Callithrix jacchus: one gene and its partner. The protein of the gene in region 2 interacts with the protein of the main gene of each other region in a biochemical or structural test. Links are inferred from orthologs where the notes say so. Each region holds a gene or a part of one and is shown on either strand. Other genes may lie near its edges.

What was found.
Region 1: the proteins of PRPF40A (region 2) and MECP2 form a complex in vitro, tested with the Homo sapiens proteins (2 studies listed by BioGRID, with this or other methods). The link is inferred for Callithrix jacchus from reciprocal best matches to the Homo sapiens genes PRPF40A and MECP2.

What each region holds. Positions count from the first base shown.
Region 1 is NC_133524.1:150,008,258-150,012,615, forward strand, and holds the start of MECP2 (methyl-CpG-binding protein 2), read right to left. Parts: upstream 3,040-4,358; 5' UTR 3,007-3,039; coding exon 2,948-3,006; intron 2,477-2,947; exon of another isoform or gene 2,316-2,476; intron 1-2,315. UniProt on the Homo sapiens protein: Chromosomal protein that binds to methylated DNA. It can bind specifically to a single methyl-CpG pair. It is not influenced by sequences flanking the methyl-CpGs.
Region 2 is NC_133507.1:77,363,973-77,368,574, forward strand, and holds the start of PRPF40A (pre-mRNA-processing factor 40 homolog A), read left to right. Parts: upstream 1-1,652; 5' UTR 1,653-1,836; coding exon 1,837-2,238; intron 2,239-3,326; coding exon 3,327-3,458; intron 3,459-4,602. Other genes in the region: ARL6IP6 (ADP-ribosylation factor-like protein 6-interacting protein 6), read right to left, coding at 438-834.

The DNA of each region.
Region 1 (4,358 bases), on a different chromosome or scaffold from region 2:
AGCAGGTGTCCTGCCACACTCTTTGGAACTGGCCAGTCTAGGACTGTGCTTTACCCCCCACACTGAAAACACTGGTTACTAGTAATACCAAACATTTTCGGAGATTCTCTCCTCCTCCGAGATAACTTGGGCATTCTGAGAACAAACTGCTCTTAGCTAATTAAAAGATTTCTGCTGATATTAGCCTTAGTAAAAGATTTCAGGTTCCAGGACACGTCATTTATCATGCAGAGTTCCAAGCAGGCACATTTGCAGTGGAAACCGGGCTCCAGTAAGGTTAAAGAAATGAACTTCTCGTTCCATCTCCACATGGGAGGAATGTTCTGGAGGGACAACATCCTAAATTCATCTAGCCAGTTTTTTTTTTTTTTTTTTCCCAAACTCCACAGCATGCCTCCCTGCCCCGATAGATGAGACTGCACAGAGGCAGGGCAGGCACGGGAAATGACTCGTTGGAAATCACAAACACATACACACAGAATGCAAGCACCCTAACTCTTTGAACACACAGTGGTCTGTGCCTGGCCCCAGACCTACCTCAGGATTTCAACAGCACAAAAGTCAGAATACGGCTGACTGCATGATACTCTCCTACCAATCAGGTGAAACAAAGACCCGGTACTCTAAAGTATTCCAGGCAAAATTTTAATAACAGGCAATAGAAAGGTTTGATAGGCCAGTGCTAACAAGAAAGCCTTCGACATTTTCTTCAAGCCGTTAGGACAATGGAAAGGGAGGTACCCCTCCAACAGGCACCCTGCAGAGAAAACTATACTCTGGAAGCTGCCTGTGCTGTTGAAAGGGCTAGGCGTGTGACAAACAGCTAACTGGAGGGGTACCAGGGAGACAAACTGCCAACTATGAAGAACAAAGCAGAGACCTTAACTTGTCATGTCTCAAGCTGAGATGTACAAACTCTGTGATCATCAAGTGAGGCTTGTGTGTCTGCCTGGGGATGTGACTGTATTCCAGTGATCAGCCACCTAGCTGACCTGCCACGAATGGGTGACCTCTGGTGACTTATTTTAATAACCGTACTTACTACTTCTAGATTGACTGTGTTATTTAAGGTTCTGACATATCCAGGTAAGAAAATAAAAGCAAGTGTTTCCTAGACTCCTGACTGGGATTTGAAACAGAAATCCTGAAAAGCCCATAAATAAGCCTATTTTCCTAAATCCTTGGTGGAAATTCCCAAAAGATGAAAAAATCCAGACCCTGTCTTATTATAGGGACCTAGCATATTTCAAAAGACCCAAGAGGTCAGCTGACTCTGGTTATTAACTGAAATTGCTGAGACACAGATGAACATCCCAGGCACGGAATCCAAAATTCTCTAGAGTGATAATTATCTATGACTGCAATGATACTACCGAGGCCGTATATACTTCATTTTTACAGTATAACAAAATGCCTATAACTTAGAAGAGCCCTTCAATGTTCAGGCCACTCAATACCAGATCCAAGTAGGTTTGGTTCCTCGATTACCAACCAAGCCCTGAATTCGATCCTGTTATCTCAACAGTTTGGGGTACTGATCCCACACAGCATACAGACAACCTGTGAAAGGCTCGGCAGAGCCCATTCTTGTTCCTGGAAAAATAACCAGAAGCACACATCTGCCTGACCATGAGTCAGGAATATCAATTTTGTGGTGGAGCCCATTTCTGCTGTGACCAACCCACACCCGAACACACTCACAACAGAAGCAACCCCCACAGAGCAATTCCAGAATGAGCTTTTTCCCCCTCGGGGTCCATACTTATCAATGTCATAAACGGTCTCCCCTTCGAGAGCAATCCTTTTAAACTCTTCATAATGACCCTAAGTCTTTAGTGCAAAACCACAGAAACATTGCCACTGCCACACAAAAGTCATCTGAGTTTCAGTTTGGGTGATTCGGTCATAACCAAACTCAACAGAGAATAACCTTTCGGGCACAATGAACAGTAGCCACAGCGTCGCGATAAACTTGCCCCATCTCGTACCGGTGATCCGGAGCGCTCCAGGGCGATGAGAGCCCGTTACCTACTATGTCCCACTCCACTTATGTAACTGGAAGATCGCCGGCGAAGGGGGGGTAGGATGGGAGGGTGCTCACATTCCGAGGCCACAGCACCCCCAAAGAACCTCTGAGCACCCTGAGGACACGCTCACACCTAAGAGCCTCAGGCGCCGAAGAGCCTCGGGTGCTGCTGGACGCACAGCACCCTACCCACGGCTCCTGATGGGAACTATAACCACCCCTTTATGATGAGTTGTGGGACCCAGAACACAATGTCTAGTCCCTTTTGTGGACAATAATCCCCACCTACTTGTTCCTGCTAGATGGGGAAAGGAGCCGGCGGACCGACTCGCTCGCAGTGGGGGCAGAAATTCATGGAATGGGCGAGAAGGAGGGGGAGGCAAAGCCCGGAGATGGGGGTGAGAGCGCAGGAGCCCTTGTGGCGCACTCTCCCGACGGGAGGCGAAGTGCGCACGCGCGCCGGTGGGGGGGCCGAGTAACGGGAGAGGGGGCGCGCGAGGGAGGGAGAGGGGAGAGCGCGATCCAGGGAGAGACCGGGGCCGCGGGCGCGCGACGACGCCGCGGCCCAAAGCCCCGAAAAGGGCAGGAGCGCGCGCAGCCCCGACAGGCGAAGCCCCGGCGACAGCGGCGCCCGCGGGGCCGGGGGCCGGGGGCCGGGATGCGCGCAGAGGGCGGGAGAAAGAGGTGCGCCAGGCGAAGGAGGCTCCGGGGAGGCCGCGCCGAGGACGGTCACCCGCGAGCACGGGTGACGGGCCGAGGGGGAGAGTCGCCACCGGCGGAGGGAGGGGGAGGGTACAGAGGAGGGACGCCATCCGCCAGCCGTGTCGTCCGACCCCGCGGGCCCCTCCCGCGCCACGTCCCGCCCCTGTCCCCCGCCCCCCAGCAAGGGTCCCCGCCCGCGGCCACGGCGGTCCCACTCACAGTCTCTCCTCCTCGCCTCCTCCTCCTCCTCCGCTCGGCGCGGCGGCGGCGGCGGCCATTTTCCGGACGGCTTTTACCACAGCCCTCTCTCCGAGAGGAGGGAGCGCGCGCGCCGCCGACGCCGGGACCCCGCACGGCCGACGTCGCGCCCCGCCCTCCCGGCCGGCCCGCGCGCTGCTGCACCTGCGCGCCCGCGCCCCGCCCCCGGCGCAGCTGCGAGCCCACCCGTCATTGGCTGGGGCGGCCGGGTTGGGGCGGGGAGTCTCAGCGGTGATGTCGTCAATTGGCGAGATTTTCTGTCCATTTCGGCCAGGGAAAAGAGGGCAGACCCCTCTAGCTGTTCATTGGCTGCTTTCGGCCGTCGTTTGGGGAAAAGAGGCGGCTTGGGCGCGGAGGGGTTTAGTGGGCGGAATTTGAATGTTAAGGATTAATGGGCCCTTGCGGATGCTGGGGCAAGTGAAGGTGTAGGCTTGGGACGTTGTTTGCGTCCCAAGCAAACCCTCTGTCCGCAGATGCATCGAGTGCGCTGCAAAAGGGTTGCATTGCACCCGCATTTTCTCAATATCACCATCTTCAGCAGAAGCAGCAAAGTTGTCCGCCCTGGAGCCTGACGTTGCTCCAGCTGAGGGGCCTTGGTTTCAGAGGCCTACTCGTTGCATTATTTCATCTGAGCCTGCCGGGTGCTTACGCTCATAGGGGCGGGGAATAAACTGACGACAAATCCCAACCCTGGCCTTCGCAGAACTCTGGCGGGGGAAGAGAGTGCATGCCAAGGCCTCGTGACACCTGTCATTGTTGGATCAGATGGTTTGGTGGAGGTGTGAATAAGGAGCGCAGAGAAAGCTGCACTTAGGTCTTCCTGGAAGATGTGATTTGGGAGCTGAGATCCAGCAGTTTTTCACTTTCCTAGAAGAGTTGATTTGCAGTTGAGATCCAGCAACTGTGTTTTGGGAAAATAAGAGTATAGAAAAAGTGTTAGCCAACCAGGCGTTCAGGACAGGGATGTTTGTTAAGGGGACCTTACCCTGGTGCCAGTCATTATCCAATCCATGCAATGATCTTTGTGTTAGTTCTGTGCTTAGCAAGAAAACCTGGTTCTGATTTGGCTGCCTGCCCCCATTCATTTATTGACTACCTGCTATGTGCCAGGCACTCTTCCAGGTTCTGGGTGCACAGTACTGAACAGACAGCAGACTAACATTCTTGCCGGGAGAGTCATACTAGCATACAAATAAGTCTAATATGTAATTTCACATAGTGATAAAGGCTTCAAGAAAGAAAGTAAGAGTGAAGGGAATGCTGTTTAGATAGCTACTGGTTTTCACCCTCATTTTCCTCCCCCTTATGAATATCTGGGGAAAGAACATTCCAGGCAAGTTCAAAGGCCATGAGGAGAGACTATGCCTGGCAT
Region 2 (4,602 bases):
TTGTCCCTCAGGATTCTATGTATAGCAGAATTGGTGGATAGCACATCTTTATTTGTGGATGAAGGCCACTGAACATATATAGCCTATTTTAATTATATGCACTTTTCATAGTCTCCTTTTAATGGTGGGTGTTTCGCGTTTTAATTTTGCCAATATTTCATCCCCCATGTTCAAGGACTCGAAGATATTTCTTCAAGAGTATCCATTGAATCAAAAGATCCTTTTTAAAAATGGGTCTCCTGATCATGGATCAGGACTTTCTAATTAGAAAAGGCAAAGGGCTGGAGAGCAAAGAAAGATGCAAATAAGGATGGGTGAAAGCAGCTGTCAGCCTGCGGGCTTCGGCAGCGCGAGGGAAAGGGAGATGGGGGCAGGCGAGAGCCACACCCTGGCTCAACTTTACTCGGGACAGACTTTCAAGGCCTCGGCTTTAATACCTTTAACGATCAAGTAGGCGATCGCGAGGAGGAGGGCGAGAAGGATGGCGAAGAGCAGCGAGCAGAAAATAGAAAGGACCTGGACCGGCCACCGCCGAGGCTGGGCTCTGTTGCCCGCAGCCGCCGGAAAGATACCATTGCGTTTATCGGGCAGAACGGGCGACCGGTCCGCGGTCGGCGGGAGTAGCGAGCCCTTTCTCGGCTCTGACCACGCCCCAGCCGAGAACTCCGCCCGCAGGTCGCGGGCCACTCGGTCGCATCCCTCCTCGTCGACTTCGCCTTCACCCCAACTGTCCCCCTGAGTAAAGGAGGAATACTTCGGCCGAGCCAAAGGGGCCGGGGTGCCGGGACCGCGGCGGCGCAGAGCCGACCGCAACCCGCTCTCCACAAACGACATGGCGCAAAAGACCGCGAAACCCGCGGAGAACGAGCCTCTCACATCCGCCCCGCCCAGTGTCCGCAGCAGCCAATCCGCGGCCGGGTGTCGCCCTGGCCGCCACCACCAGGTCTCGAAGCCCAGGGGTGGACCGCGGCAAGCAAGGGTGAGCGGCGGGGCGCAAAGGAAGCCGTGGGGCCGGAATACAGTCGGAATGCTCCTGGGCCAGAGCTCGACCCCAGAGCTGTAGCCGGAAGGGGGAGCAGGAAAGCGCGCAGGGAGAAGTGAGCGGAGGCCAAAGGCAGTCAAGTCTCGACTCCCTGCAGCGCTTCGTCCCGGCCGGAGACCTCCGCCACAGCCGCGTCACCGACTGGAGCCCGCGCCCCGACAGCCCAAAGCCGCATCTTTCCAACGCCGGGTCCTAGCGCCTTTTCGCAACCTCTGACACACATTCGCGAACCTATTTGCTCTCTTCCTTCTTCCCTGCTATGCTCACACTCTTTCTCTAGGTTCCCCAATTGAAGGCAGCTCTCTGTCCCGCGCTCTCGCGGTGCCTTAGTTACTCACCCCTACCTCCCTTTAGTGTGGTTCTCCCCAACCGTACCACAACTTCCCTCACGCTGCTCGACACGCCTCCTTCCCCCTAGCCCCAGCGCACTCTCCACCAGGTGCGTAAGGAGCTCGAACTCTCGTCTCGGAACTCCACCTCTCACCTTCCCCGCCCCCTCCCCTCCGCCTCGAGCGCAGCGCGCGCACCTTCGGCCCCCGCCGCCGCTAACGCTAGGGGCTGCTTACCCCCGCCCCTTCCACCCTGCTCCTGGCGGTCTCAGGTTTGTGGGGCGTACGTAACTCGGGCGGGGAGGGTGAAGGTGGCAGGCCCCCACTGCCCCACCCACTACGGGGTGAGGCGGTCTAAGCTCGGGAAGCTGGGATTCGGTTGTCTTCCCTTCCCCCCTGTTGAAGTTGGTAGAGTTTTCCCGACGGAGGACTAGGCGCAGAAACTTCCGTCCTCCTCCCCACTCCATGCAGGCGACGCCGAGTGAGGCTGAGGCTGGGGGCGAATCGCCGCAGAGCTGCGTGTCGGCGGCGCATTCTGATTGGACCTCGGCGAAGCCTGTCAGCCTGTTGGCCCCGCTGGTCCCGCCCCGTAGCGCAGGGCAGCCTTTAACCTTTAGCCCCAGCGGGCGCCAGCCACTCAGATCGCTTCTTGTTGGTATGTGTAGCGGCAGTGGCCGCCGGCAGAGCAGTCTGAGCCCGACGATGAGGCCAGGGACGGGAGCTGAGCGTGGAGGCCTCATGGTGAGTGAAATGGAGAGCCATCCTCCCTCGCAGGGTCCTGGGGATGGGGAGCGGAGATTGTCCGGCTCCAGCCTCTGCTCCGGCTCTTGGGTCTCTGCTGACGGCTTCCTGAGGAGACGGCCCTCGGTAAGGGATCAGTGGGGCAGTGGGTAGGCGGCACAATGAGAAACGAAATGGGAGAAACAGGAAGCTTTCTCCGAAAGGAGAAGATAAGAGTGGACGAAGGAAGAACTCGAGATGGTGGGATATGTTCTGAGGGAGAGAATTGGAGAGTGGGGTTACACAAAGAGAAGGATGGGAGACCCTAGAAGTTCCCCGTGGGCTTGGCCTAAACAGATGCGTGGTGAAGGTGCTAGTTCTTGGGCGGGGTGAGCGTCTTGGAGCTTTAGGCCGGATTTAGCTGGGAGGGGGAGCAGGGACTTGATTCTCTAAGACTTTAACAGCGACTGCCAAAATTTGTTTTCATTAGTCGAGGTAGTGGTCTGCAGGGGGAACTCTTGGGACAATTGGCAAGAGTTAATTACCTGGTTTTAATTTAAAACATGGAACAATGGATTCATCGGTAAAGAACGTAGTTGTCTTTTTAAAGTGCGTTAAAATAGATGAATTAGTTATTTGCATTTAGCGTCCGTGAGTGACAGAACCTTAGTCTTTTAAAATGTATTTTTGGCAGAAGAATTTTAACTGTTTTAAAGGTTATGTTAGAAAATAAGTTTCTTAGGCGTGAATTGACCCCGGGTACCCTTACTGTTTGTGTTTTATAAGACCGGCTCTCACCAGAGTTAACTTGATAGAGCATTTTAAAGTTTAAAATCAGTAGTGTTACAAAATAACAATAGCTGGCTATCTTGTATATCTGCATGAAACAGAAGAGTTGTTGTTTTCACCAAAACAGTTTTAAAATTAGCATTTAATATATATCTTCCAATCATAGTAAGCCAATTAGTACCTGATTGTCAATGCTTAAAAAGTAAAAAATAGAAAATCTATGATGCAGCTGTCCAGTAATCATCTTAACTTTTTCTGTTTTGTTATGGAATTTGCAAGCTCGTTTTAAATGCCAGCAGAATGCATTTTGTTTAAAGTATAGACTGATCCAATTATGTGATTACACATAAGGTTAATATTGTCGCAGATAACTGATTTGTTGAAATGAGATTTTTGAGAAGCATTTAGTGTTACTTGCTAATTTAAAAATGTTCACTGTTTTTCAGATGGGGCACCCTGGCATGCATTATGCCCCAATGGGAATGCACCCTATGAGTCAGAGAGCAAATATGCCTCCTGTACCTCACGGAATGATGCCGCAGATGATGCCCCCTATGGGAGGGCCACCAATGGGACAAGTAAGAATGTTTTTGTTTTATTTTGCACTTATTTATTTGTTTTTGTCTCAGATATTCTGTCAAGATTTCGAAATCTAGGTCAATACTTAGAGTTAAGAATTAGTTTATGCCCGAATAATTTCAAATAAGCCAAATGTTGAATCATGACTAACGGAAATTTGAATGTAATGAAAAAAATCTGAGAAATTTACTGATGGCCTCAAGAAAAGAATTTTTTTCTTTATTATTTAAAAGTAACAGTGTGCATCCAGGCTTTTATTTTTTAATGATTATTTTTTCAAGCATGCCAGTTGAAGTTAATGTTCTAAGAGTAAATAATATCTGATAGAGCAACATAACTGATTTCGGTGGACCATGTAAATAAAGAGAATCTGAAAATAGCAATTGTTTAGGCCTTTGGCTTAGAGGGGATTTTATTCCTGAAATATCTTCCTCTTTCTGTGCTGGAGGAGGCTGAGGAAGGGTAGGGAGTTTGTGCTCTATAGTTCTGATTGTTCATAGGACAGTGCCAAATAGGTAGTTCATTTCCACTTGCACTATTTTTTTTAATGCTTATTGCTTGTACACTCCTGCTTTTGAGCTGTCCCTTTCATCTCTAGCATAAATTGTAAATGGACATTTTGTAGGAGTGATTTGGATCAGAAGGTTTCAACGCTGATTTAGTGATTTCGGTAGAACTGAGTTTCTAGAGAAGCATCCAAGAAAGGTAACAAGTTCAGTTACCATGAGTAATTTTGTGCTCCATGTTAAATTCTATAATCTTTTGGTAGCTGGGTTATTTCCATTTGAGTATTTCCATAAATCATCAAAAATTTAGTCTTAAGAAAATATTTTGGAAGCCAATTTCATGTGATCTTCTGCTAATTAATATTGTTTGATAATTGTTTAAGCTTTCATGGTTAAAGTTATTGGTGAAATTGCAGCAGGAAAAGGAGCTTGCTATGTGTCTGTCTCTTTTTACTTAACCTTAAGAGTAGAAGGGCTTAATGTCAAGTGATTTCCTTTTTTTTTTTTTATTTGGAATATTGCCCTTAATTTTGTTTAAAAAAAAAAAAAAAAAAAATTGTTCTAAGGCACCAGCCCCAAAAGATTCTGCCTGCAGGAGTTCTTTAACTAAAAGAACCTTTTATTCTGTTACTCTAGA